7 linked regions of the Oryctolagus cuniculus genome follow. The protein of the gene in region 1 purifies or fractionates together with the protein of each later gene. This does not show direct contact. Links are inferred from orthologs where the notes say so. Each region holds a gene or a part of one and is shown in the gene's direction. Other genes may lie near its edges.

What was found.
Region 2: the proteins of GDI1 (region 1) and RAB1B purify together in Homo sapiens (affinity purification with mass spectrometry; 3 studies listed by BioGRID and IntAct, counting the BioPlex papers as one, with this or other methods). This does not show direct contact. The link is inferred for Oryctolagus cuniculus from reciprocal best matches to the Homo sapiens genes GDI1 and RAB1B.
Region 3: the proteins of GDI1 (region 1) and RAB4A purify together in Homo sapiens (co-immunoprecipitation; 4 studies listed by BioGRID and IntAct, counting the BioPlex papers as one, with this or other methods). This does not show direct contact. The link is inferred for Oryctolagus cuniculus from reciprocal best matches to the Homo sapiens genes GDI1 and RAB4A.
Region 4: the proteins of GDI1 (region 1) and RAB12 purify together in Homo sapiens (co-immunoprecipitation; 4 studies listed by BioGRID and IntAct, counting the BioPlex papers as one, with this or other methods). This does not show direct contact. The link is inferred for Oryctolagus cuniculus from reciprocal best matches to the Homo sapiens genes GDI1 and RAB12.
Region 5: the proteins of GDI1 (region 1) and RAB31 purify together in Homo sapiens (co-immunoprecipitation; 3 studies listed by BioGRID and IntAct, counting the BioPlex papers as one, with this or other methods). This does not show direct contact. The link is inferred for Oryctolagus cuniculus from reciprocal best matches to the Homo sapiens genes GDI1 and RAB31.
Region 6: the proteins of GDI1 (region 1) and RAB8B purify together in Homo sapiens (affinity purification with mass spectrometry; 3 studies listed by BioGRID and IntAct, counting the BioPlex papers as one, with this or other methods). This does not show direct contact. The link is inferred for Oryctolagus cuniculus from reciprocal best matches to the Homo sapiens genes GDI1 and RAB8B.
Region 7: the proteins of GDI1 (region 1) and RAB5C purify together in Homo sapiens (affinity purification with mass spectrometry; 3 studies listed by BioGRID and IntAct, counting the BioPlex papers as one, with this or other methods). This does not show direct contact. The link is inferred for Oryctolagus cuniculus from reciprocal best matches to the Homo sapiens genes GDI1 and RAB5C.

Annotation. Positions count from the first base shown.
Region 1 is NC_091453.1:132,671,142-132,674,207, forward strand, and holds the end of GDI1 (rab GDP dissociation inhibitor alpha), read left to right. Parts: intron 1-712; coding exon 713-812; intron 813-1,552; coding exon 1,553-1,724; intron 1,725-2,042; coding exon 2,043-2,187; intron 2,188-2,269; coding exon 2,270-2,324; intron 2,325-2,413; coding exon 2,414-2,566; downstream 2,567-3,066. UniProt on the Homo sapiens protein: Regulates the GDP/GTP exchange reaction of most Rab proteins by inhibiting the dissociation of GDP from them, and the subsequent binding of GTP to them. Promotes the dissociation of GDP-bound Rab proteins from the membrane and inhibits their activation.
Region 2 is NC_091432.1:5,574,716-5,578,995, reverse strand, and holds the start of RAB1B (ras-related protein Rab-1B), read left to right. Parts: upstream 1-1,480; 5' UTR 1,481-1,616; coding exon 1,617-1,630; intron 1,631-3,127; coding exon 3,128-3,200; intron 3,201-3,433; coding exon 3,434-3,529; intron 3,530-3,607; coding exon 3,608-3,703; intron 3,704-4,280. Other genes in the region: KLC2 (kinesin light chain 2), read left to right, coding at 1-31, 161-244. UniProt on the Homo sapiens protein: The small GTPases Rab are key regulators of intracellular membrane trafficking, from the formation of transport vesicles to their fusion with membranes.
Region 3 is NC_091444.1:90,047,216-90,051,353, forward strand, and holds the start of RAB4A (ras-related protein Rab-4A), read left to right. Parts: upstream 1-1,338; 5' UTR 1,339-1,608; coding exon 1,609-1,639; intron 1,640-4,138. UniProt on the Homo sapiens protein: The small GTPases Rab are key regulators of intracellular membrane trafficking, from the formation of transport vesicles to their fusion with membranes.
Region 4 is NC_091441.1:65,748,192-65,752,238, forward strand, and holds the start of RAB12 (ras-related protein Rab-12), read left to right. Parts: upstream 1-1,247; 5' UTR 1,248-1,267; coding exon 1,268-1,808; intron 1,809-4,047. UniProt on the Homo sapiens protein: The small GTPases Rab are key regulators of intracellular membrane trafficking, from the formation of transport vesicles to their fusion with membranes.
Region 5 is NC_091441.1:67,004,353-67,007,852, forward strand, and holds part of RAB31 (ras-related protein Rab-31), read left to right. Parts: intron 1-2,021; coding exon 2,022-2,131; intron 2,132-3,500. UniProt on the Homo sapiens protein: The small GTPases Rab are key regulators of intracellular membrane trafficking, from the formation of transport vesicles to their fusion with membranes.
Region 6 is NC_091443.1:86,302,780-86,306,279, forward strand, and holds part of RAB8B (ras-related protein Rab-8B), read left to right. Parts: intron 1-208; exon of another isoform or gene 209-1,143; coding exon 1,144-1,194; exon of another isoform or gene 1,195-1,407; intron 1,408-2,173; coding exon 2,174-2,266; 3' UTR 2,267-3,500. UniProt on the Homo sapiens protein: The small GTPases Rab are key regulators of intracellular membrane trafficking, from the formation of transport vesicles to their fusion with membranes.
Region 7 is NC_091448.1:20,643,092-20,647,019, forward strand, and holds the start of RAB5C (ras-related protein Rab-5C), read left to right. Parts: upstream 1-1,128; 5' UTR 1,129-1,287; intron 1,288-1,467; exon of another isoform or gene 1,468-2,203; intron 2,204-3,928. UniProt on the Homo sapiens protein: The small GTPases Rab are key regulators of intracellular membrane trafficking, from the formation of transport vesicles to their fusion with membranes.

The DNA of each region.
Region 1 (3,066 bases):
CAGCATTTCCTACTCTGACATCTGAGATGGGGACACAGCCCCAGCACAAAGCCCTGGGAGGCAGACTCAGGAACCTTGAGTCTGCGCTTAGTGGGGAGCTGGACTTTGTTCTGGTCCCTCAGGCTCCTCTTTCTGTGTGGCGCTGGTCCTTCAGGCCACCCTCACACTAGCCCTTTGCAGGATATTCTAGGCATGGAGTTCCAAAGACCACAGTAAGATGGGATGTGACGTTTTTAAAAGATTTATTTATTCCAAAGGCATATATATATATATATATATATATATAGAGAGAGAGAGAGAGAGAGAGAGAGATAGATAGATATCTTCCATCCTCTGGTTCACTCCCCAGATGGTCACATGCCCAAGGCTGGGCCAGGCCAAAGCCAGTAGCCAGGACTTTGTTCCAGGTCTCCCATGAAGGTTCAAGGGCCCAAGCACTTGAGCCATCTCCTGCTGCTTTCTCAGGCCATTAGCAGGGATCAGAGGTGGAGCAGCCAGGACTTGAACTGGCACCCATATGGGGTGCTGGTGTCACAGGTGGTGGCTTTACCCGCTACCCCACAGTGCTGGCCGGGATAAACTGCCGAGGGTCCTGACACCGCCTGCCTGGGGAAGCCTCCTCTATACCTCAGTGGTGGCAGGGCACGGTGCAGGAGACTTGGTCCCCATTTCTCCTGGGAGGGGCACTTGAGCTTCTCTCCCCTTCCCACAGATTGAGCGCCATCTACGGGGGCACATACATGCTGAACAAACCTGTGGACGACATCATCATGGAGAATGGCAAGGTTGTGGGTGTGAAGTCTGAGGGAGAGGTAAGCCTTCCCCAGGCCATGGGGCCATCGTGGTTAGGGCGGGGCTCGCCTACCTCCTCTGCTGCCAGGTCTGCTGCACACCTCAGCCCCAGGGCTTTAGAGCTGAGAACTGGGGGTCCAGAAGCCATTCCTGTTGGCGGGAGGTCCCCTTCAGAGGTGGTGTACTGGGGCCAGTGCTGTGGCGCAGCAGGTTAAACCACTGGCTGCAACGTCGGCATCCCCTATGAGCACTGGTTCCAGTCCCAGCTGCTCCACTTCCGAGCCACCTCCATACTAATAGCTTGGGAAAGCAGTGGAAGATGGTCCAAGTGCTTGGGCTCCTGCTCCCACGTGGGAGAGCTACATGGAGTTGCAGGCTCCTAGTTTAGATCTGGCCCAGCCCTGGCTGTTGTCATTTGGGGAGGGAACCAGGAGATGGAAGATGTGTGTGTGTGTGTGTGTGTGTGTTTCCTTCTGTCACTATGTCTTTCAAATAAACAAATCTTTAAAAGAAAAACCAAAAAAACAAAAGCCACAAAGATCACGAGCTGTGTGTAGTGCAGAAAGCACTGTTGATCACAGTGTGCCTGCAGCCGGGGCTCACCCCATTTCTGGACTCACCTGCCTGCCCTGCCGGCTGTGGCTGTGCGTTCCAGGAGAGTGGAGCCTCTGCCTGCTGCCTGGCCTCGTGCGTGGGCTCAGCCCCACGAGGTTTTAGGGCAGGGATCGGACAGAGGTAAAGCCCTCCGATGCCTTCACAGGTGGCCCGCTGCAAGCAGCTGATCTGTGATCCCAGCTACATCCCAGACCGCGTCCGGAAGGCTGGCCAGGTTATCCGCATCATCTGTATCCTCAGCCACCCCATCAAGAACACCAACGATGCCAATTCCTGCCAAATCATCATCCCCCAGAACCAGGTCAACAGGAAGTCAGGTAGGCCGGGGCACACGTGACGTCCTCCTGGGTGTTCTCTGTGGGCTTGCTCCGTCTCTCCCTGTCAGCCTTGGGGCTCCCCACCTGATCCCTCCACAGCAGAAATGAGAGCCGCGTGACAGTCCCCACGACTTGGGGCCCCAGGGATTGGGTGGCTTGGACTCTTTCTCCTTGGGAGGGTGACAGCCAGGATGCTGCCCATTGTGTGGGGCGGGGTGATTGGATCAGGTGGGCCAGGATCCCATGCAGCCCCTAGGCGCCTTCTCTTTGCATGGTGTTCACTCTGGCCCGTGCTAACTGAGCACTTCCCGTGGCCAGACATCTACGTGTGCATGATCTCCTATGCACACAACGTGGCTGCGCAGGGCAAGTACATCGCCATTGCCAGCACCACAGTGGAGACTGCGGAGCCGGAAAAGGAGGTTGAGCCAGCTCTGGAGCTGCTGGAGCCTATTGACCAGAAGTAAGGGGTTGCACGGAGCCCGAGGGGGTGGGGAGGACCAGGAAGGGCGGGGCCTGTTGCGAGGCTTGTCTCTGCCTCTCAGGTTTGTGGCTATCAGTGACTTGTACGAGCCCATTGATGATGGTTCTGAGAGCCAGGTAAGTGCCTGTCCCAGCCCCAAGTCCCGGCCGCCCACCCGGCCGCCCTGCCCAACTCACCTGAGGCCCTGGGCTCTGGCTGTTGCCAGGTTTTCTGTTCCTGCTCCTACGATGCCACCACACACTTTGAGACAACCTGCAATGACATCAAGGACATCTACAAGCGCATGGCTGGCTCAGCCTTTGACTTTGAGAACATGAAGCGCAAACAGAACGACGTCTTTGGAGAAGCTGACCAGTGACTGCTGCCCCTGCTGCCCCCGCCGCCCCTCCTGCGTCCTGCAGGGCCAGGGAGATGTGCGGCAGCACCCCTGTTTCCAGCATCTCTGCTTCCCCCACCACATTCCTACTACCCACCTCATTGATTCACTGACCAAATCCTTAACCTTAGCGATGGTTTGGGAGATGGGGGGTTGGATAGCATCTCTTCCTTGGCCCTTCCTTATCCTAGGAAAAGACGGTTCCTTTCTTCGTGCGTGTCTCTTCCCCTCGCCCCTAATTCTTCTGCTCTGTCTGGGAAGAACATGGAGGAAAAGCTGGCTTCTGCCCCCACCGCTCTTACTCCTACTGTAGTGGCCTTTGGAGATGCCCCCTGCCTCCCCCCACCAACTCTCGTGTGTTGGAAAGAAGGGGCCCTCCCAGCACAAAATTGCATTCCTTTTCCCCGTAATTTATTCTAATTTATTAACTGCAGCCCACCCCACCTGAGCCTGCATCCTCCTAGAGCAACCTGGGGGCTGTC
Region 2 (4,280 bases), on another chromosome or scaffold:
CCTCAACAAGAGCGTGGAGGAGCCAGCCCAGGTAGGGGCGGGTGGCCGTCTGTGCCCCGGGCGCGTCCCTGCCCGCCTGCTCGGGCCTGTGCGACGGTGGGTGCCAGCGTGCACGCAGCCCTGACCCGCAGGAGCTCACCAGGGCCCCCTCTGTCCGCAGCCTGGCGGCGCGGGGCTCTCTGACAGCCGCACCCTCAGCTCCAGTTCCATGGACCTCTCCCGACGGAGCTCCCTCGTGGGCTAAGCCTGAAGGGGCAGCCAGTTGCCAGAGCCGCCCCCCGGCACAGCCCCAGCGCTCGCATGGGCCCGCTGCTCGTCCCGCCTGCCCAGCCCCAGGACCCCTGTCTTTTCTGTTCAATCTCAGGGTAACCTCCCCGCGTCGTCCCAGCCTGAGCCCTGGAGGCCGGCCTGGCTGCCCAGCGCTGCCCCGTATTTATTCTCTCCAGCAGAGCCCCTTGCCAGGCCCGTGGGAGGGGCTGGCTGCTCGCCTCGCCCAGATCCGGAGCCCGGAACACTAAGCCCCGCCCTCCCCCGGCCGTTGCTTCTGTATATAGAGAAATAAGTTATTGGCCGCGCCCCTGCCCTCCGTCCCGGTACTCCCGGCCCTTCTCTAGTGGTACCGCCCAGGCCTTAATCACCCCCATCGCGCGCGGAGTATCTCCCGCGAGCGGCGCCGCCCCGCAGGGCTCCCTGACCTGCTCCCGCCCCTCCCGGCCTCCAGGGGACGCCACCAGCTCGCCATCGCCCGGTGTCCCGGGACGGAGAGCCCGGAGCCCTCCTCGCCCGCCGGCCCCGCGCCGCGCCCGGCCTTATGCACTGCCCCGCCGGGGCGCCGCCTCCGCGCCTGCAGCTTCCCGCCGGGGCCGGAGGGCTCCCCAGCTGGGGTGGGGTGAGGCGGTCGCGCCATTTTCAGATGTAACTGGAGAAATAAAGACGTTTGAATCTGTGCTGGGCTTGTTTTGAGACGGAGGCCGCGGGTGCCCCAGGCTGGGATGGGTGGGAGAGGCTGCGCGTGTCTCCCACGGGGGCCAGGCCCTCTGCCCCAGCCCAGTTGTGGGGGGCGCTGCTCGGCTCGGGGTTTCTTCGAGAGCCTTCGCTCCTTCGCCCCAGACGGCCCGGTCTTTAACGAGATCGGCCGTCCTCGGGTTTGACCTTGAGCGAGTTTCCCGAGCCCCGGTTTTTTTTTTCCACCTATAAAACTAGTGTGAGGACATCCTCCTGGGCCCGTGGCTGTGCGTGAGGAGCTCTGACTAGTGCATGACCGGCGCCACCTTCCCACGCAGAGCTCCCAACCTGGGAGCCGAAGAGGGAGAAGGCGGGTGCGCCAGCCCGAGCCGTCCTCGGCCCGCGGCTACCAGGAAGCGGACTACAAGCTCCAGAAGGCAGTGCGCGGCAGGACAGGCGTGGGCTCGCAGCGACGCCTGCGCCGTGGGGGGTGGCGAGTCGGGCACCGTGGGGGACTACAAGTTCCAGTAAGCAGCGCGGCGAGGCCCCTGTCGGGACCGTGTGCGCCTGCGCGTCGCGGGCGGGGCCTCAGGGGCGGAGCGGCCACCATCTTGGAACGGGAGGCGGAGCAGAGCCGACTGGGAGCGACCGAGCGGGCCGCCGCCGCCGCCATGAACCCCGAATAGTGAGTGAGCCCCGCCCGCGCCGTCTGGCGCAGCCTCGGTCCCGAGTACGGGGCTGTACGCGTTCCGGAGTTGTCTGGCCCGGGTCAGGACTGTGCGGCGCCCCCACATCCGGGTCCCTCTACCACTGACACCCCCCCCCCACACATACACACATCCGGGTCCCGCCCCTCCCCCCGGGGGCCCAGGACCCCGTCTTGACACCCCCGAGTCCTCGAAGCGGGGGCCCGAAGCGGCAGCCCCAAGGGCAGCGCTGGGAGCCGCGCGGCCGGCGCGCAGGCCTCCGCGGTCAGGTGACCCGGCAGCCCCGGCGTCCCCAGGCCTCAGTTTCCCCGGCTGTGCGGAGCCTGTCACGCCGGTTTCTGGGTTCAGACTCGGCTCTTTTGGGTCGGGCTCTTGGCGAAGAAGAGCAGCGCCTGGGGTGTGGAGCTTGGCGGAGAGGGGGCTCAGAGCCCTGGAGGCAAGCGAGAAGCGAAGTCGATTAAGCCCCGCAAAAGTGCGCTCGGGCGGGATCCGAGCGGCCCAGCCCCTGGGCGCGGGGCGGTGGTCCTCCGTCGTCTGTCTGAACCGAGAGGTGCGGCTCCCGGAGGATGGGCAGGGGGCTGCCCGGGAAGGCGGGGCGCGGGCTGTCCCGGCGGAGTCGGGATTCCGGCGTGGTGGAGGAATTCCTGGAAAGCGTGGGGAGCCCGTGTGAGCCCCCTGCGGCCGTGAGGATTTCGAAGGTGGCTCGGAAGGCCGGCTTCCACGTTGTCTCTGCGGCCCCTGGAGTGCAGGTGTGCCAGCCCTGGGGCCCTGCCCGCGCCCGCCTCCCCGGTCTGGGGCCGAGGCTGGCCAGGCGCAGGGCCCGGGGCGGCGCTTGGTCCCGTCTCCCGCGCCTCGCGCTCGCGGGGTCTCCCGCGCCTCGTCCCGCCTTTGCCACCCTGCTTTCGCTGTCCCGCTGCTGCCGGGCCCGGGCGCCGTGGCGCGGCCTTTGCCTCGCGGCGCCGGCTCTGGGCCTCGCTGCCGGCTCGGCTCTGCACTCGGACTTCCCCGCGGTGCGCTCTGCTTCCTCTCTGCCGCTTCCCTCTTCTGCCCCAGCTGGAGGCTGCAGGTTTCCCCGGGCAGCGCCCCCCGGGCCGCGGTGCGGGGTGGGTGAGACCCCGCCTTGGGGCCCCCTCGCAGCTCAGTCTCCTCCCTGGCCTGGGGTCTCTTCGTGGCGACTTCAGCTGTGCGCGCAGCTTTGTCACTGAGCAGGTTCCGGGCTGAGCTCAGCTTTCCCTCTGGGGCCTGCCCTGCCAAGCCACTGGACGGGCCGGGAAGGTCTGGAGTCCTGGGAAAAGTCCCAGCGGCGGCACCGGGCTCTGGTTCACAGCATCCCGCCCTTCAGCGCCCGGCGCCCTGTCGCGTCCAGGGCAGCGCTCCCCCAGCCAGGCCTGGCGGGAGATCTGGGGGGCCGCGGCCGCGAGCCCAGGGTGGCAGCAGTGCGCTGCCTGCCCTCACACTCTCTCTTCTCTTCCCAGTGACTACCTGTTTAAGCTGCTTTTGATCGGCGACTCGGGCGTGGGCAAGTCGTGCCTACTCCTGCGGTTTGCTGTGAGTAGAAGCTCCCGTCCCCCAGCCTGGGGTCCCAGCTGGCAGCGGGGGGAAGGGCCCCCCAGAGCACAGTGGCTGCGAGACCTGGGGACCCAGGGTGAAGTCGTGGGACCCACCAGTCACACATCAGACTAAATGGCACAGGGCCCAAACGTTGGGGTGCTGAGAACTGGGGCTCCCCTGTGCCCCACTGGGGCCCCGTGGCTGAGGCGCTGCGCTGGCCCCGGCCCTAGGATGACACGTACACGGAGAGCTACATCAGCACCATCGGGGTGGACTTCAAGATCCGCACCATCGAGCTGGACGGCAAGACCATCAAACTCCAGATCGTGAGTGTCGCCCGAGGGCCCCGGGGAGGGGGCTGCGGCCTGGGCCGCGGGCCGACTGTGCTGCTCGCTTGTCTGCAGTGGGACACAGCCGGCCAGGAGCGGTTCCGGACCATCACCTCCAGCTACTACCGGGGGGCCCACGGCATCATCGTGGTGTATGACGTCACCGACCAGGTACTCCGGGGCTCCCTGTCGCCAGCTGTGCCTCCCTGCCTTAGTCCGAGATTCGCACGTCATCCTGGCCTCTGCCCTGACAGGGGACTGACTGTGTGCAGGCTCACGTGCAGGGAGGCCAGCCTTCCAGAACCCTGATGCAGGGGCTCGGTGGGACCAGGCCGCAGCTTCCCCTCCGCGCCAGACTCGCCCCTCGGGGTTTTAGTCAGCTGGGTGGCCGCGGTGCTGGACCTGTGGCTTCCTGTGTGAGACAGGGGCGGCACTTGGAGGGCCCTTGACCAGGAGGCCCGGGAGCCCGGTGTGAGCAAGAGCCCAGGCTGTGCGTCTGCTCTCACGCCGCTGGCAGCAGCCGGAGACGGTCTGTCCCCTTGCGACACTCATGCGAGGGCTGTGTCCCAGGAGGCCGTGGGCTCAGGACGGCGGGGGCCCTGGGCGAGTCCTCCAGCTTGTGGAGGGCAGGGGCAGGAAGCGCAGTCTTTCCCTCCCCCCCCGCCCCAAACCTGCCGCTGCGTGGGGTCCAGCCCCAGGCGGAAGGGGTCCCTGCTCCCAAGGGCAGCTGCTCTTTTTTTAAGACTTA
Region 3 (4,138 bases), on another chromosome or scaffold:
CGCGTCCCCCCTCGCTGGCAGCCCTGTGGAGCTCCCCGAGTTCCTCCTCCACGATGCTGCCACGGAACTGGGGTCGAACCTCCAGCCCGTTCCCGCGCCCGTCGGAGGACGTCTGGAGCACCTGGCGCCTCATGGCTGAGTAGGAAAGAAATCGCTTCATTTCTGAAGCGGACGGCGGCTTTCCGCCACCTCCGGAGCCCAAAATCCGAGAAAACGAGCCGTCTGGCCACCACGTCCCCGCAAGGCAGGTCCGCGGTCTCCAACTCCTCAGCTCCGGATGACGGTCGCCGAGCAACCGCCGCCATGCGCCAGTGGGCGGGGCCGCCGCGCACGCGCAGAACCTCCCACCTCCCCCGCCCAGCTGCAACCAGACTTGGGTGGGTCTTTGCTAAGGAAAAACATCAATCATTTGAAAAGCAGTGTTTATACTCAGCTGGAGATAGAGTGGCTTGAAACTGCAGAATTCTGAAGGCCTACAACGCCTCTGAAAATGTCTAAAAAAAAAATGTTTCAGCTCCTTATCTTTCAGTTTATTTCCCTTCCACATCACCTTTGTTCCACTTGTTATATATTAATGTTAGCCGTCGCAAAGCACACCGGACACCGGAGTAAGGGAAAGGGTTTACTGGAGAACACCCTACAGACCGGAGTGAAGGGGCTGCGAAGGAAAAAGAGAGAAAGAGAATATAAGAGAGAAACAGAGAGGAGAGGAGCTAGCAAGGAGAGAAGATAGAGCAGAGCCAAGAGAGAAGAACCAAGAGCCAAGAGACCAGAGGAGGAGGCTAGAGAGAGGAACCGAGAGAGAGCAAGAGAGAAGGGCCAAGAGAGCAGGGAGCAGAGCCCAAGAGAGCACGTGTTCAGGAACAGGCCCTTTTAAAACTTTGCCTGAGGGCGGGCAGGGAAGCAGGAGCAGCGAATCCCATTAGGATGGGGGTGGAGCCTGGCTCAGGTAGCTGGGCCATGTGGCCACCTGGCTAAAACTGTGCCAGTTTCCTAACACTATCAAAGTAGGCAGGTTCCATACGAAGCGGTAGCTTCTGACTCCAGATTCCTGCTAATGTGCCCCCCCCCGGGGGGGGGTAGTGGAGATGGCTCCAGTTACTGAGTTCCTGCCACCCACATGGAGACCCGAATTGGGATCCTGGCTCCCCTCTTGGCCTCAGCTCAGCCACCGCCCTTGTGGACATCGGGGGAGTGAACCAGTGGATGGAAGCTGTGCGTATTGGCGCGCGCCCTGTGCGCCCGCGCGCGCCTGTGCGCCTCGCCCGGCCTCCCCATGCGCACGCGCGGCCGCGGGAGGGGGGGCCTGGCTCCTCCTTCTCCTCCTCCTCCTGCTCCTCCTCCTCCAGCTCCAGGCCCGGGCCGGAGGAGGGCCGAGGGCCGAGGGCCGTGCGCCTGCGCGGAGCCGGAGTCCTATAGGGCCGCGGCGGTGCGGGTGGGCGGTTGCCTTGGGGACCGGTCCGGCCCCTCCCTCCTCGGGTTCCCCACCCACCCCGCTCCACGCCCCTCGCCGTCTGGACGCGCGGCACACAGACCTCCCGGCCCTCCCTTCCCGCCGCTCACCCCAGCTGCAGCCGTGACCCGGCCAGAGGCCGTGCCGCTCCCAAGATGTCGCAGACGGCCATGTCCGAAACCTACGGTAGGAGGCCCGGGGGACGAGCGGGCTCGGGTCTCTGCGGCGTGGGGACCCGAACCTGCGCTCGGGGAGAGGTCTCGGGGGGCGTCGGGGGCTCGGGCCCGGGATCTGCGGGGAGCGCGAGCGTTGGGGCCGCGGGCGGGGGGCTCGGGGGTCTCTGGGTGGGAACGCGAGGCTGTGAACGGCCTGTTTACGTGATCTGCTTTTCCAAGTTTCCTCCGCGCTGGTACCCTGAGTGTTTTTCCTCTCTGGGTAGCTTGAGATTCGCCTGCGGCTGTGACGTTAGCCCCTGCGAAGGGGGCGACTTCTGGATTTCAGCGAGCTCCTCGGGATGTTCCAGTTTTGACCTTTTCGGATTTGGATTTACTGTCTTTGCCGTGGGATTAAAGGAGGAGTTAGCAATAGATTAATCTATCTCTTCCTCCCAGATAACTCTTGCTTTATTTATAGCCTCTCTAGGTTGCATTTGGCTAGTTACAAGGGGGCTCGTCTATTCTTTTAAGATCGTAAACGCCTTGGAATCGGCGCCTTGTTAAAAAAAAAAAAATTTTTTTTTCTGTCCTGCATAGTCAGGATCAACAACTTGTACCTTTTATTAGTGTTGAGTAAATGTTTATCAACCCGGACTCTTTCAAATGTGTACAGTCTCAGATTAAGACTTTGATTTGGAGTTTTACAGCCCCAGGGAGAGGCTCAAATTCAAAAGAAAATGTATCCCTCAAGCCAGATCCGCCTGTCACCATCTGTCCTGGCCTGCCGCTCCTTCCCGGCAACAGATAACGTGTGCAGGGCATTAGGGGAGCAGGCGTCAGGCTTGGAAGGCTGTGAGCTCCTGGAGACACAGCAGAGGCGGCTCTGGCCGGGTGGAGTTTGCCTTCTTGGCGGGGAGTCCCGTGTGAATCCGGTTGGGGTGCTGCTGAGTGAGTCCAGGCCAGGCAGGAGCCCTGAAGAAATGTGCCTGTTTGTTAGGATGAGAGCTGGCCCGCACTGGGCAGTCAGACGGTCACCTGGCAGGTGCCCAGACCTGTGGAAAAGGCATTTCAAGCAGGGCGAGGAGAGAGGGCCTGGTGGGAGGTTTCCAGCTCCCTCCTAAGACAGGTGGTAAGCTTGCAAAGGTTTCTGCTCCAAGGTCGAGGTGCAGTGGGGCCGCTTTAGCGATTCTTGTGACTGGCACTGCCCTGTTCTTGGTGACACTGTAGCATGGCCGCTGTTCTTAGAAGGCCTCGGAAATCTTCCAGGAAACCTGCTGGGTTTGTCAAGACCAGCGTTGCCAGAGCTGCCGGGTCTCCTGTGAGGGGTGGCCATGCGCTGCTCTTCTTCCCATGGAGAACTGCAGTCAGAAATGGCTTTAAAACATTATCTCTCTGCTTATTTGAAAAGGCAGAATTACAGAGGGAGAGGGAGAAATCCTCCATCCGCTGGTTCAGCTCCCCAAATGGCCACAACACCCAGTGCCGGGCCATGCTGAAGCCAGGAGCCAGGAGTTTCATCTGGGTCTCCCATGTGGGTGCAGGGGCCCAAGCACTTGAGCCACCTCCCGCTTTTTTCTAGATACATTAGCAGAGAGCTGGAAGTGGAGCAGCCGGGTCTCGAACCGCCACCCAAATGGGATGCTTGTGCAGGCAGCAAGGCAGCCCCCCAAAAGTATCCTACGGAAAATGTGTTCCAAGCAATTTGTGGTTGTATCTTTGCAGTTGTTTATATGCAAGTGCTTATTTGTCCACCCCTCCCCCATTTTTTTTTTCTTTGACCTGGGTAAGCAGCACTAGATAAGGCTGAAAAGTCTTAATGAGGGAACCATGGGGAGGTTGTGAATTACTAAGAAAGCATGGGAAGACCTTGCTTTCATTTTCCTTGTGTGAAGTGGTAACAGCTGATAGAATACAGCCCACCTTTGCTTGCCCTGCCTCACTCTGCACAGGGATCTTGGAAGTTGCAAGCCTCACCCAGGAACTGGTTAAAATCCTGATGCTCAGGCTTCGGCCATTAATGTTCTTATTTCATGCACTTTCAAAAAAACAAGCTTTCACTATTTACTAATTGTGAATTTAGTATTTTCTAAATGAGACATAAAGAGCCAGTGCCGTGAATGCACTGTTAGTGTGCGGGAGCCACCTGCTCATGAGCACGTTAGAGCAGTGTTCCACTTCCCATAGACCTGAGTCGGGTCCAGCCCTGTGTTGTTGGGAAGCCACTAACCACAGGAGTACAATGCTGTAGTGTATGTCATACTGTAATGCACAGTTGAAATGCTAAACAGATGTCAGCGTGGACCCTTCAGTCTGAGTGTCACTAACCTGGAACAAGGTACTCCCACATGTGTTTAGATTCAAGCGATCCAAAAGTGCTGGCCCGTTAGTGTTGCCCGGGACTCCCCCATGGAACCCCTCTGAGACCCAGGAGGCCACAGTTTGGCGGTGCGTGATTCCTGGTGCCAAGAACTGATGCTAGTGCTGAACTGTAAATGTGGAGGGGAAATGCCAGGCTTCTTTTTTAAAAATT
Region 4 (4,047 bases), on another chromosome or scaffold:
GGAAAAGCAGAAGATGATGGCCCATGTGCTTGTGCTCTGACACCCCCATGGGAAACCAGGAGGAAGCTCCTGGCACCCACCTGACTCCCGGCTTCAGCCTGGCCCAGTCCCCCAGCTGTTGGACCATCTGGAGTGCGAACCAGCGGATGGAAGCTCTCTCCCTCTCTCTCTGTAACCCTGTCTTTCAACCAAATATTTAAAATAAAATAAAATAAAATCGTAGAGATGACCATATTTACCATATCCTGAGAATTACTGAAAAGACTGAGGTGGCTTTTGCAGAGCTAAGAATTCTCTTGTAAAAGCGCACTTCCCCCAGCTGACCCGGTGGGCGATGCTGGATGTCTGCAGCCCCGGAGCGCCCAGTGCCGAGTGCCATTGGCAGAGCTGTGCGTTCCCACACCGAGGTCCACACCCAGCGTCACCTGGCGGTAACAGGAGCCTTCCGGGCCTCCGGGCCAGCTCCTACCGCGTTCAGAACCCTGTGTTCCTGGGCGCTCGGATTCACGCCGAGGAATCTGCTAAACAACTCCCTGGCCAGCAATCGGCCCGGCGATTTTTCAGTCGCTTTGAGACCTTTCTAAAAGCCAAAGCATCTTCAGCGAGGCCATGATTGCTAAACTTTCTGAGTTTAAATCTCACTGCTTGGATTCTCCCGAAAGGAGTGTGCCGCTTGCTTATGGCAAACATGAGACGGAATCGGAACTTGAGATCTCTGAGTGAGGCAGCCGCCGGGGTGAAAATATCCGACCTTGTGTATTTCCGTACGAAACGGCAGACAGCCGCGGGGCCAGGCTGTGGCTGCTGTCGGTGCCTGACTGCGCGTCCAAATGAGACCCCCGATGCGCCGCACGGGCAGCACGGGCCTGGCCTGGCACCGCCCGGGGTCCCCACCAACCAACTGGGGTTCGCAGCACTGATTCCGGGGCTCTCCTAGGTTCAGGGAAAGGCAGACGATTAATAGCGGGCGTGGCGTTTGAGGGCTGCGCACAGTGCAACAGAGGGGGAAGGTGAAAAAGAAACAACAAACTAGCGGACAGAACGGCCCGGGCCGAAGTGGGGGGCGAATGAGAGCAGGAGGCGGGGAAAGAGCAAAGGCTGCCGGCCTGGGAGATCAGGGAGCAACCGCACAATCACGGGTGTTGGCCCCGGCAGTCCTCCGGCAGGCAGGGGGCGCTCGCCCGGTCACCGCCGCCGCCGTGGCCCCGCCCCCGCCGCGGCCCCGCCCCCGCCGCGCGCCTGCGCTTCCTGCCCCTCCTCGTCCGGGATGCTGCTGCCGCTGCTGCGGAGTAGCTGCTTCCCTTCCTCCTCCCCCGGCGGCGGCGGCGGTGGTGGTGGCGGCGGCAGTAGCCGTAGCGGCGGTAGCGGCAGCGGGGAGGGGGGCGCAGGAAGCCGCCCGGCGGAACAGCTGCAGCGCGGGCCCCCGGGGCCGCTCGAGCGCGCAGACTTCGAGCCGGGGGCCGACCCCCTGCGCGCGGCTGAGACCGAGGCCAAGGCCGAGGGGGCGCCGGGGCCCGGGGCGCGCGGCCGGGGGGCGGGCGGCGGCGGACGGCGGGCCGAGCGGGAGCCGTATGCGTGCATGGATCCGGGCGCCGCGCTGCAGAGGCGGGCCGCGGGCGGCGGCGGCGGCCTGGGCGCGGGCTCCCCGGCGCTGTCGGGCGGCCAGGCCCGCCGGAGGAAGCAGCCCCCCAGGCCGGCCGACTTCAAGCTCCAGGTTATCATCATCGGCTCCCGCGGCGTGGGCAAGACCAGCCTGATGGAGCGCTTCACCGACGACACCTTCTGCGAGGCCTGCAAGTCCACCGTGGGTAAGGCGCGCCGCCGCCGCCGCCCCCGCCCCGGGGGCCCTCCCTTTCCCATCTTGCGGCCCCCAGGGGCTTGCGTTTGGCCGGTGAGCCTCGCGTGGGATCTGCGGCGGGGAGGGGAGGGTCTCGGTGGAAGCCCCTCAGTGCCACTCCCGAAGCTGCACGGAGATTTTCGTTGGGTCTCGCCGCGGACGCGTCCTTGGGGCGCCCGGGCCTGTGTCCGGGCCGGAGCCCGGGTCTGGAGCGCGCGCGCCGCGGGCGACCCCTTCTCGCGCGTCCTGAGGCCTGGGGGGACGGGGGTGGGGGGCGACGCATCCACTTGCACGTGGAGGCTCCCGGCTCTGTGCAGACTCAGCCGAGGAGGAAGGCCTGGCCGCGCTGGCCGCTGCCTTGGTGGCCGGCGGGTCCTCGCCTAGCGTTTGGAGGAGGAGGATTTTCGCTGTCGGCGGGGCGTCGGTTCGCCTTTGAACCCGTTTTCAAGGGCGGGCTGAAATGATGAAGTGTAACATTCCCCACGCAGAGAGTTTAAACTAAGACTGCACCAAGTGTCTTGAAGTACAGACTTGGAGCAGCTGTGTTTACCGGTGACCTCACCGGTGAGGGCAGCACCGCGGGCTGCAGGCCGCGACGTAGGGGTGGCATTCCCAGGACGCGGAACGGAAACTGCAAGGGAGAGTTGTTTCCAAGAAGTCAGGCCCAGCCGGACCTGCCGTGGAGGGGTGTCAGGTGGGGGTGGAGAATCGTGACCCCGGAAAGCCCGTGGGAGCAGCGCTCGGGGAAGCCTGGAGCTGGGCTGGTTCTTCAGCTAAAGGGTGTTGACCTCCCGTGGTGGACAGTGAGGGCTTTTCCCAGAAGAGAACCGAGATTTGGCGCACGGAATTAAATGTAGCATCTCCTATATTTCCCTACCGGCTTAGAGTCCGAGCCAGTGCTAATTCCAGTGTGCAGATACATTGCTTTTAGGTTGTCCCGGGACAAAACGAGTGCTACATTTCAGATGTCTTTATGGAAAATTAAACTTCCAGTATTTGTTTTGTTTCTGAGAACTTTCCTTCCTTCATGCCTTTTTTTTTGGGGGGGGGGGGTGATATTTGTGCTGTCGGTGCTCTTTTTGAAAAGTTGGCCTTGGGAATGTGATATTAAAATTCAGTAGCATAACTGGACCTGTTTCAGATGTCCCTTCTTGGACCGTGCAGAGTGCAGGAGTCATTAAACCATCACATGATGTGTACACTGTTATTTTAGTAGCTGTCACAAATCCAGTAGTGTTAAAAACAATGCAGAATTATCGATCCGTCACGGCTCCACACGTGGACATCTGAAAATCAGAGATAATGTAGTTGCGCCATGTGATGAAGAAGAACCAGTGCCGGCGCTAAACAGGAGACTGAGGGGCTGGGTGGATGCCGGTGAGATTGGCCATGAGCAGAGTTGTGCTTTAGAACAGAGGAGAGGAGGGGGGTTCTAAGCCAGGCCACAGTGGACTGGGACCCCCCAAGCCGTGGGAAAGGTTCTTTAGGGAACAGAGGAATGGATGCTGTGAGACCTTGACCACCATGCTAGGAAGTGAGGTCCTTGCCCCACAGGCACCTGTGGCCATGAAGACTGCTACAGAGACAGTTCAACTGAATTTGGGATTGTGTGGGCCACTTGGGGCCAAGGAAAGAAACAGGCCAGGCGGTTCTGTGTCCCCCCAACAAACATGAACACGTGGACTTAACGGAGTGCATCTCACCGCATGCTGAGTGTGGTTGTATTTTTCTCTTGCTCATCTTTTGTTCCCGCACGCACAGCCTATAGTACTCGGCTCAGGGCATGTGTCCAGTTGTGGGAAGTTCTGAGACAGAAGGCACTTGCAGAAAGCCTCCACGCGGCTCTCCCTGGTGGTGATCGGATCGTTGGTTGAGCACCTACTGGGTGCTGGGTGTTGGGCTGTCCACCAGGCTTTTGATGGCAACAGGACCTGGGCTCTGTGCAGGAGTGGATCCAAGCTAATGGACACGTGGATTGGGGTGGAGGTTGTAGGGGCGGTAACAGAGACTTGTGCAGAGCACCCAGGAAGCGCCTCCTATCTGGAGGTGGGGTGTGAGGGCGTGTCGGAGAAGGTGTCCTCTATTGGAGTGTTGTGAAGACAAGTTGGTTCTTCAAGTTTAGGAAAATGCTCTTCAAACCTGGCATCAGGTGGTGTGGGATCAGGGCTCCAGGCTCCTTGTGAGGCTGGTTTCGTGTCTGTGTGGTACAA
Region 5 (3,500 bases), on another chromosome or scaffold:
ATGTGCACTTCGGAAGGCAGGAGGTGAGGGGAGCGGGAAGAGGCGACCGCAGGAATCCCTGTAAGAAACGAAGGGGTCTGGACTGAGGTGGAGGCGGCTGGTGAAGGTGGGGCCTGGAGGGAGCATGCGTGGCCTCTGCTAATGCAGCCTGGGAGGCTGCGGATGATGGCCCAAGGACTTGGGCCCCTGCCACCCACTTGGGAGACCTGGATGGGGTTCCTGACGCATGGCCCCCAGCTGTAGTGGCCTTTTGGGGAGTGAACCGGCAAATGGAATATCTCCCTTGCTCTTCCTTTCACAAATAACAGTAAATGCAGTGTGTGTGTGTGTGTGTGTGTGTGTGAACTTCTACCTAGGCATTCCCACCTGGGGCCCGCAAACTCTTCCTCTCATACAGGTTGGGTCTCAGAAGGTGTTTGAATTTCCCCAGTAGCTGTCAGTCAGTTGCAGCCATTTGTGAAAGACAGAGAGGCAGAGGAGGAAAGGCAGGCAGATGGACACAGGCCCTGTGCTCACCTCCAGTTTCAGCTTCGTGTCCCCCTCCCCTTGTTTCCCATCGCTGCCCTGCCATGCTGGCCTCGGGCCCGAGAGGCACTTCCACGTCACCCTCCCCGCCTCTCTCCGCCCTGGTCCCCTTTGTGTGCTGTTTTCTCCCAGGCTCGGGCGCTGACCCGGTTGCCTCCTGCTCCCTGAGGCCTCTGGGACCAGCCAGGCTTGCATGGCCAGGATCCCTGCTGGGCCCTCCTGTGCTCCTGTGGCACACACTCCAGCCGTCTGTCCATCCTGACACCATGTGGTACATGGGTGAAGCCGCCCTGACCTCCGAGCCACATGGGGGCTTCAGAGCGCCCTCGTCCCGGCGCTGACGGCAGAGGAGCACGGGCTCCCTCCTCCAGGCCTCGAGCAGATGGCAGATCCCCGCCCTAGCTCTCCGTGGCCCTCGTGGCCACACATAAGGTGGCCGCCTCCACCCAGGGCCTCTTCCTTGCTTCCCTGGACTGAACCATCGCCTTCTGCCCCTTGGTCTGTAGGCGCTTGGTTGCACACCGCGTTGTGGGTCAGTGTTTTGCTTGTCTCTGCTCTTAAACATTCCTTCCAGGAGGCGGGGTTGGTTGTTTTCTTTACTACTTGCAAGAGGAGGGGCCCACAAGGGCTGCTCAATAACGTATTTGTTGCATAAATGAACCTTAGGAGAACAAGAACTGTGAATTTTCCATCTCTGTGGGAACAGCTTCTTAAAGGTGGAACTCCAGATAGGCCACACTGCGTCGTACCAGGCTCGTTGCCAAACCGACCAGTCGTGGCACACACTTGCTCTGCTCTGCGGAAAACCGTGTGTGGAAAGTCGCCCCAAAGCACATCCTACGTTCTCACAGTATTGTTTTAATACTGAGTCACATCCTGGGGGAAAAAGCTAAAACCAGCCTGCCTTCTTCCGCTCTGCACTGCCGGAACAGTACCGCCATGACCTGGCTAAGAAAGGTGGACTCTGGGGCGTGTTGAATGCTGCTTCCTCGGGAAGAGAGCAGTGTTTCGTTTCCACGTGGCCGAAGATGGAAGGGCAGAGAGGCAAGAGGGGGCCTGAACTTGACCTCTCATGGAGACGATGATTCTGCTAATGAAGGCAGAGTCCTCGTGGCTTAATCACCTCGTCAGGCTGCCGCCTCCTCCTGCTATTACCAGGGCAGTTAAGTGACCTCCAAACCACAGCGGAAGCCGGGGTCTGAGAGCAGCATGTTGACCGCCCTCTCACCCCTCCTGTCCCTCCTGTCCTGGATTTGCCTCCCACCACGGGAGCAGAGCACTCGGGCACCCACCCGTCTCCGGGGGGGCCAGAGACCAGGTTTTACACTCTCAAAAATCTTCCCCCATCCTCGGCCGTCCGTGCTTGCTGAGGCCGCGTTCCGGGTCTGCAGGGGATAGAAAAGAGCTGATTGACGCCCGTGGTTTGTTTGGCCTTGTGGGTGATCTGTATTTTACAGCTGAGCACTCATTTCTCTTGGGTTTGACCTCTTTTCCAGGGAGGTTCCTCTGAAGGATGCAAAGGAATATGCTGAGTCCATAGGTGCCATCGTGGTTGAAACAAGTGCGAAGAACGCTATCAACATCGAAGAGCTCTTTCAAGGAATCAGTAAGTACCCGAAAGGGTGCTTTTGTCTAGCTGGCATTTTTCTGCTCCTGGGGTAAAAACTGTAGAGCACTGAAATAGAGCTTTCCCTCCGTGTGAGTTTATCTGATGCCTTAGATAGAGGCCTCTGTTAGGCCTCTCCGTTTACATTTCTGCAATCCGCGCAGTTTGTTGGTTCTGTGTTTTGTGGATCAAAATGAAGCCATTTCCCACAAAAATGAATGTTGTATTAATTGAGAGTTACACAGTCTATAGCATTTTATGTTAGCATCCTGAAGGGAGGCGAGACAAAACAGACAATGATAAAGTATAGATGCCCCAGATCACCCATTTGACTGAACAACTGTCAGCACATCAAGGGAACCTTTTAGCAATTTATGTTGCCTGTTGATCATCCACAAAAATCATGTCTCCATCCCACGTGACCTGAAGTTGAGTGCTGGGTGGAGGGTTGACTTGTAAAGCTGCCCCTCATTCCTGATGAGCTAAGTGATGGGAGCAGACAGCGTGCACTCTGTCCCCGGCTGGGCCCTGTGTCCCTGTCCGTGTGCTGCTTCCCCACAAATGGCTTCATCCAAGAGCTGTCTCCCAGCGGATGGCCTCCCTGACACATCTGTCTGCAGCCGGGCCCAGATTTCACCCCCGTGGCTTCTCTGCGGCGGGGGGGGGGGGGGGGGGGGGGAGGCTGTCCGCTCACAGCTTTCTGGGGACCCTGTGCTGTGTCTGAGTTGCCCTCAGGGAGGCAGGGAGGAGTTCAGGACTTTGGAAGCCCCGGGCACCCTTCTTGGGAGAGCAGAGCCCCTGAGCAGTTGGCCTGGTTCTCAGATGTCTCAGCCCCGGGACAGGCCCAGAAGGGAAGCGGCTGGTTTGATCCCTCCTCTGCCTGAGGTCACTGTTGGCTGGGCTCCCCCAGGCAGGGGGTGGCCAGAGCTTCCCAAACAGATTTGGTTTCCGTGTAACTGGTTTGGGTCTGTTACTCTAGACTCTGAGAACCCACAGCAGGGAGACTGCCGTTTGTTTGTGTTGGCTTGTGGGGGAGTTCACTGGAGGTAGGGACTCTGCATCCCCCATGTGGGATTGCGCAGAAGAAACGTGCAGAAGAAACGTGTGGAGGGAGGCAGCTGGCCCTTCCTCTCATTCCTCAGGGTCCTCATTGCCTCCCCTTCTCTGCACCTGCTGGCAGGTGCTTTGCCGCTCTGACTTCACTCAGCACACCTGTGGCCTTCAGGCTCATGGACCCGCCTGGTTGCACTGTGCAGTGCTAGGGCTCCAGGTTCTCCTTGGAAGCGCTCTGGCCCCTTGATGATGCCAGTGGCCTGTAGGTGCTCCCTGTCCTTGTGTCACTCTGAGGGACATCTCAGAGCATTTGACT
Region 6 (3,500 bases), on another chromosome or scaffold:
TAGAGCTTGAAGTCAGTGTGGCTACCTCCTAAACACGGGGATGGGCTAACGTAGAAGCTTAGATGTATAGGTGACCAGCGCGACAGTGGGGTTCTGACAGTGGGTGACAGCAGTGGTTATCCTCTTACTTCTATTTAATTGGATTGGAAATTGTCCTTTTCCTACACAGTTTTTGGGGGGCTCAGGATATTTGAAAACAGAGGCCAACATTAACAGTGGGTTAGTGTAGAGACAACTGACAGAGTTTTTTTCTTTTTTATAAAGATTTTTTATTATTATTATTTATTTGAAAGTCAGAGTTACAGAGAGAGAGGGATCTTCCAAGTGGTTCACTTCCCAGATGCCCATAACAGCCGGGGCTGGGCCAGGCTGAAGCCCATATTCCGGAGCCTCTTCCAGGGTTGTGGGTGCAGGGGCCCAAGCACGTGGTCCAACTTCCACTGCTTTCCCAGGCACTTTAGCAGGGACCTGGATTGGAAGTGGAGCAGCCAGGTCTTGAACTGACACTCATATAGAATGCTGGCATTGACTTTACTGGCTGCGCCACAACACCAGCCCCATGAGGCTCTGTGGTAACACAGTAAAGTGATAATAGATTTAAAGAATATTTGGTTGGGCCGGGAGAGACTATGGATAACCAGATTTTTCCTGCTTCCATTTGAACTGATTTCCATGCTGGGGGATTCAGCTGAGCTGCAGAAGCTCGCTGTGTATACTCAGGTGTAAGAGTGAGGAAGTTTGAAGAGGAGGTCAGAAGTAAGAGGTAGAGATTGTTGGGTAGACGTTTTAGGGTAGCACATAACCATTCATTTCCTCTGCCCGGTTCTTTGTGTACTGAGGCAGCCTCAGATAACTCAGCACGTGTCATAATGGGATCGAGTGCCAGAGAGCCCATGAAGGAGATATCTGATGAATGAATGAATCGTGGGTTGATAACATTGGGAAATGTTTATGATGTCATTGAAAAAGAGCATATAGCATGCATGTGCATACCATAATTACAGTTACATCCTTTTGTCAGTGAAAACCTTTGAAGTAGTGTGTTTATGATGAGATAATGAAAAATGTGTTTTAAGATGTTACTAATGAAATGTGTAATAGTAGCATAAATATGTAATAATGAAATTTTTGTTTTACTTGTAGGCATTTTTTACACTAGCACGAGATATAATGACAAAACTCAACAGAAAAATGGTTAGTATCATGATTTTTATTTCCATTGCTCTGTTTTCTTTGGCATTTGATCGAAGGATAGGCCTGATTGTAATATTTCACATTAAACTCACTTTTTCCTTACTAACATATTCATCTGATCGAACTTCGATTCTTCTCTTTCTTCAGGATTCTGGTTTTTCAGCTGAAGCTGTTTTCAGTCTTTATCTTGCTCCCAAAGTGGCTTTTCATTGCCTTTAGATCAGAACAATGGAAATAGCAACGGCATATAAATTACATTCTTTTAAAGATTCATTCATTTATTTATTTGAAAGAGTTACACAGAGGAAGAGACAGAGATCTTCCATCTGCTAGTTCACTCCCCAAATGGCCACAACGGCTGGGGCTGGGCCAGGCCGAAGCCAGGAGGCAGGAGTGCAGGGGCTGAAGGGCTTGGGCCTTCTAACGCTGCTTTCCCAGGCCATTAGCAGGGAACTGGATCAGAAATGGAGCAGTCAGGATTCGAACCAGCACACTTATGGGATGCTGGTGTCACAGGTAGTGGTTTTACCTGTTACGCCTCATCACTGGCCCTACAAATTACATTTTGGCCATAAAATTATCTAGTTTCATTTTCAGCAAACTTCAAAACAAACTTTGAAAATTGGTTTTCAGTCCTGAATATAATTGTATAATTCTCCTTACCCCTAAAAGGAGTACCCGTGTCAGTATCTTAGCACTGTTTCCATCATTACCCTTGAAGCTTTACCCACCATTCATTGTAATTGCTTTTAACTGGAAATAGGAGCTTCCTGCCTAATACATTGTTAACATAGCCAGTGCTATCTGAAGAACAGTTTGCTCAGTGGAGCCCAACCAGTTCCCTTTCTAATAGAAGTATTTCGGTGAATATATCTGTTTCCATAGAATGCACGCTACCCATGGTATGGTTTGTCATTTTTATTTTGTAGGTAACCGTGAAACTTTTATTTCCCTGCTAATGGCATCTTCTCAATTTCAGAATGACAGCAATTCTTCAGGGGCAGGCGGACCAGTGAAAATCACAGAAAACCGGTCAAAGAAGACCAGTTTCTTCCGTTGCTCGCTGCTTTGATGAACTCTGTCTGAGAGACTGCAGCGCGCCCGGAGGGCCCCCTCCTGCTTCTCCGAAAGCACAGGTCACCCAGCCTCAGAATCACACCGCCCGGCTGCTGCTGAGAGCACTGCTGAACTCGGACCTCTGCCGCAGAAGGCCCAGTGGAGTCCAGCCTCCCGGCCTCACAAAAGAACAGGCTCGTTTTTTCTTTCAAACATGGAAGCAATGACTTGGAGACACAAGCAGGACCTAACTTGTTTTTCCTTTGTTTTCCTGCCTGTTGCAGAAGCTGCTATCTTTCTTTTTCACTTTGCACACAGTGTTACTCTCTCCCTTCTACAGCACAATCTCAGACTCATTTTTGCACACTTTTGTGTCCTTAAGTCGATGGATTTGTACATTTGGGGGTCGTTAAAAAAAAGACAGGACATTTAAAGCAGAGGCTAATGTACTAAAATTAAAGGACATGTGGTCTGGTTTCTAAGGCCAAATGTTACTGCATTGGTACCATTTTATTTAAGGGGTTTGATTTGTGATTTTATTAAGTAAAGATCATTAAGTCATGACAAAACCTATTTTAAAAATTCATAAAAATGCCCACGGTGTCTTCACCTCTTCAGATTATGTAGAGCTTTGCCTCATTCTTGACCTTTTTCCCAGAGTCCAGATAGCTCCAAGAATCACTCTTTAAATTGATTACCTCTGCCTAATCTGTGGAAACCACAGTGGGAAATCACTATATTCTCACTTTTCCTGGGGTTTGTATTTGCTCTTCTTTCCTATGTTTGACTTAACTGTGATTCCTCGGTGATCTGAAACTGAACATATTCTAACATTGCTGTATTTTTCCTTGTGAATTTCTTGAGCTGAAATTTGACAGAGAGACGCCCCATCTAGGATTTCACTTCAGCATCTCACTGCGATTGTGTCACATGAGGACTTGTAATATATTTTTTCTTAGCTTCATCCCTTAGCTTGATGATTGAGCTGAGATACCCAGTTCCCACCATAATCCCTATCCACGAGAGTTAGTGAAAGTTAGATTGAGATTTTAGTTTGCAGAAAGCTTGCCTACACAGAGATTAACTTGTTGATATAAATTTAACAGAGATAACTCTTGGTAATGGTGAAAATAATGATTTGGGATTCTTTTTTTTGGGCGGGGGGAAGGGTTGTTAATAAAAGTGAATAGATCTAGTGCAGCCTGTAGAAAAAGTCTTGCCTTTTCATTAGAGAAAATATGGTCAAGGTT
Region 7 (3,928 bases), on another chromosome or scaffold:
CCCCTCACCAGATACACGTATGTGGGAGGGACAGAGTCCTGGCTCAGGCCTACCTCCAGCCTTGGCAAGGAGTGCCCAGGGGACTCCCTACCCTTCCTACCCAGGGAGGGGTTGCTGGGCTCCGTGCAGCAGGCGCTGGGAGAAGAGCTGGGCACCAGCCAAGCTCCTGGTGGGAATCTCACCCTGCCCCATGCCCCCTGCCCTCCCAAGCCCTCCCAGCTTTCACTTCTCTGATGGTGGCTGCCAGGAGGAGGGGAGCTGTGGATGTTCTAAAGAAAGAAGCACCTGCTAACCAGCTGCAGCCAGATGTGCAGCCAGATTCTGCAGCTCAGCCTCTAGGCTACGACGGGTGATGGCGGCTGTCACAGACAGATTCCATAGGGCTTTTGGGTAGCGTCCCTGAGGAGTGAGAGGAAGAAATAGGAGAGGTACTGGCTTGTGTTGGGAGGTGAGGGGCTGAGGAGGGGAAGGGGGGGCGGGGAGAATAAGGAGAAGTGGCCCTAAACCTGAGGGAGAGGCGTCGGAAATGTCTCAACCTACGTGGGGGTGGGGATTCCAGCTGAGGCAGCAGGTATCCAGCTCTGTATCTGCTTCCAGTCGGGTGTGGGGAGGGGTAGAGGGGCAGAGGTGGTTCTGTGTGTCTAGGGACCAGCCCAACGCAGGAGGGTTTATAAAGCGCCCCCTTCTATGTCACCTAGCATCCCAGAGCGCCTTCCCCATCACACAGTGCCCCCAACTTCAGGAAGCGTGGCCAGGGGCTGCTCCCAGTTAGCGAGTGCACGAGACCCACGCGGCCTCCCGTACGAACTCATTCACATCACGTTTGCCCCCTCCCCAGTTCTACACACACAGTCGTCTGCCCTCTCCCATCGCTCCGCAGCCATTCGCCTTCCCTCGGGGCTCCTGGAACCCGCAGTGACGCGATTAGCAGCCCAGGCCGGCTCCGCCTCGCCCCAGCCGGCTCCACCCTAAGGCCAAGTCCCAAGCAGGCGACGGCTCCGCCCAGTGCTGCGAACTACAAGTCCCGCCGTCCCTCGCTCGCTCTCTCCCGCCTCTCCCGCGACCCTCACCGGCACCGCCTATGGGTCGGCCAGGAGGGCCTCCCATTGGCTTCTCCGCCCTGTCAGTCACCTGGGAGTAAGAGGGGCGGGGCGGAGGTAGAGATCCGGATCCGGAGCGGCTGAAAGGCGGAAGTGGAGGCCGGAGCCTGGGACACCGCCGGGGGGGAGAGGAGCGAAACCTGTCCGAGCCCCGTCCCCAAGTAACGCCGCCGTCCCCGGAGCCGCTGTGAGTGTGCCTGTCCTGGGATCCAGTGTCTCTCCAGCCCAGTTGCCTTTGCGGGGCAGCCCTTCCTTCTGCCCAGCCCTATCTTAGGGGGATACTGACCCCTCCCCCGACCCGTAGCCCCTTCTTAAGGCGCTCCGCAGGCGTCAGGCCACAGGAAGATCCCTTCTTTCCTCGACTTACCTGCCCTTTGTGAACCTTGGGGAAACCCCTGCGGCTCTCCTCTGGCCTGTCCAGTCCAGTCGCGGCGGAGAGGGACCCTGAGTTCCGCTCTCCCTGCTCCCAGAATCGGCCGGTCTTTGCCAGGTGTGCAGGAACCTGCCCCTCTTCTCCCGTAGAGGTGGCGGGGAGGGCTGTCTGTCGCCGTGTCCCCCCCACCCCGGTCCCACAGAAGCAGTTGTCCCCCGCCAGCCCTGGAGAAGTCTTGTCTCGATTTCCTTTGGGGGAGGGTGGTCTGGGGGAGGCGACTCCACGCGCATAGAAGTGTGTGTGCTCCCACAACTCCCGACTCGTTCTCCCTCCTCCAGCCAGAGAGCCAGCCAGGACCTCAGCGGAGTCTGGGGCGCGGGGCACTCCTTGGGAACGAGCAGCCTTCTTGTTTTGTCCCCGCTGTCCCCCGGCCCTGTCCTCTTGAGTGTATCTCTCTTCCTGCCTCTGAAGAATTCAGCTGAGGTTTGCTCAATGCTAGGTCAGGGTGGCTCTGCCCATTCATTATCTTCTGGCTCCCCTACTCCTCCCCCTCGGCTCCAGGCTCAGCCCTGTCCTCCCGAGAGCACGTGAGCGGTTCCCCAAGCTGCCTCTGCGGGACTGCCTTGTCCGCTGGGCTGTAGAGGAGAGAATAAGCCCAGAGAAGTGAGGAGCTGGGGCTTGAAGGACCGTTTCTTTGCTGCTCCCAGACACACACACTCGACCGCCGCCCCAGCAACAGGTCCACCCTCACCGGGGCCTCGCCTCAGTCCCCGGGGCTTGGACGTACTACAGACCAATGAGTCGAGGGCACAGTGGCAGTCTTGGGTTCTTAGCTAATTTCTGTAGCAAGAGGAGTTCCCAAATCTGCTAGAAAGGGCTGCCCTCCCCTCCCCCCGGCTGTTTTGCCATAGGATCCTACTCTGTTGTTTAGGAACTGGGTGTGTGAAATGGCTGCTGTCTCAGACCAGGCTAGACCGTTCTGTTACGTGGCCAAAGTACAGGCCAGAGACTACCTTAATGAGGAGCAGCTTGCCTGAGGCCAGGACTGACCCTTGCTATCTGCAGGGGAGGAAGGGAGGAGAGCCCCACGCTGCCGGAATCGCCGGAGCTCCTGGTGTTCCTGGGCCGCCCTCACTGCCCTTGGCTGCTGCTTCCCAGTGTTAAAGGTGTTTCTGCTTTGAGATCTTTTTTGCTGCTCTGGACAGTTGCTAGTGTGTGGTCCCTACAGTCTTTTGAGCTCGGTCTTGAACGCACTTGTTTCACTTTTTATTGGACAACAAAGCAAAACTTCCTTATTGGGCTCAACAGCTGGATCACGAGCCCTGAGCCCGTGTGGGCTCCTTGGAGACTTTGTCCGCCCTCCTCATCGGACCTGGTGGGGCTGTGGGGCTGAGGGCAGGGCCGCTGGTTCTGACGGGGTGGGCCGTGGCTGGCGGAGCGCTGCAGCAGTGCAGGGATGAGGCCGAGCGGCCGTCCGAGGGGTTCTTCTTTGCGTTGCAGCTCTGACTCGGAAGCAGGCTTCGGGAAGAGCAGCTCCCTGTTCAGAACAGTGGGGAAGGCTGTACAGCTCTGGGTGGCTGTGTAGCCACTCTGGCCTCCAAAAATTAAAGCATCGTAACAGGACGAACCCTGCCTGGCAGAGGGAGGGCTCTGTGTGGGGCAGAAGCCCCTCCTCTCTAACATGTTCCCTCCTTCCCTGGGCCCGTCACAGCGAGCTGGCCTTTTTTCTGCTGCTATACTACAGGGTGATGGTAACTGCTAATTGCTTTAGGTCATTGCAGAGTTGCAGACTTCTTTTCACACACGTCCCTCACACGTTCCTTGGGAGGTAGTGAGATTTGCATTTCCACATTGGAGATGATGCCTAAGACCACGCGGTTAGGAGGTGATGGCGCTGAGGCTTGGGATCTGGGCTCAGATGTGACCTCGGCCTTCCCTAGTGACTGGCCCTTAAATGAATGAACAGGTAGGGTGAGCATCAGGGGCACAGTGCAGGCTCTGAGCCCCTGCACCATCCTTGTCCCTGGCGCTGCTCTGCTTCCCATCTCTTCCCCCATCTTCACCCCGGCCTCCTGGCCTCCTCCTTGGCCCCCTGTGCTCTGCCTGCAGGGGCCCTGACAGGAGTTGGTGCTCTGCAGGGCCCAAGTTCGCTGACATCTGACTGCCGTCAGTTTCCTGGGAACCTGCCGGCTGATGGTTGGAAAGTGAAAGTGAAAGCCACTGGGCTCGGGGGCCTCCTGGGCCCCAGTGAGGGCGGGAGGGCCTCCGGCTGCCCTGCAGTGCTGCCCGAGGTGACGCGCCTTCACTTGAATTTACTGGAAACAAGGAGGTCAGGAGTTCAAGTTCAGCCCTACCAAGCAAGTGCTTCTTAGAAGAGGCTTCTTCCTGTAACCCCTGCCCAGCACACACAGAGGCGGTGTGGTGGGATGGGGGGCACTAGGGCTTTGGAGTCAGC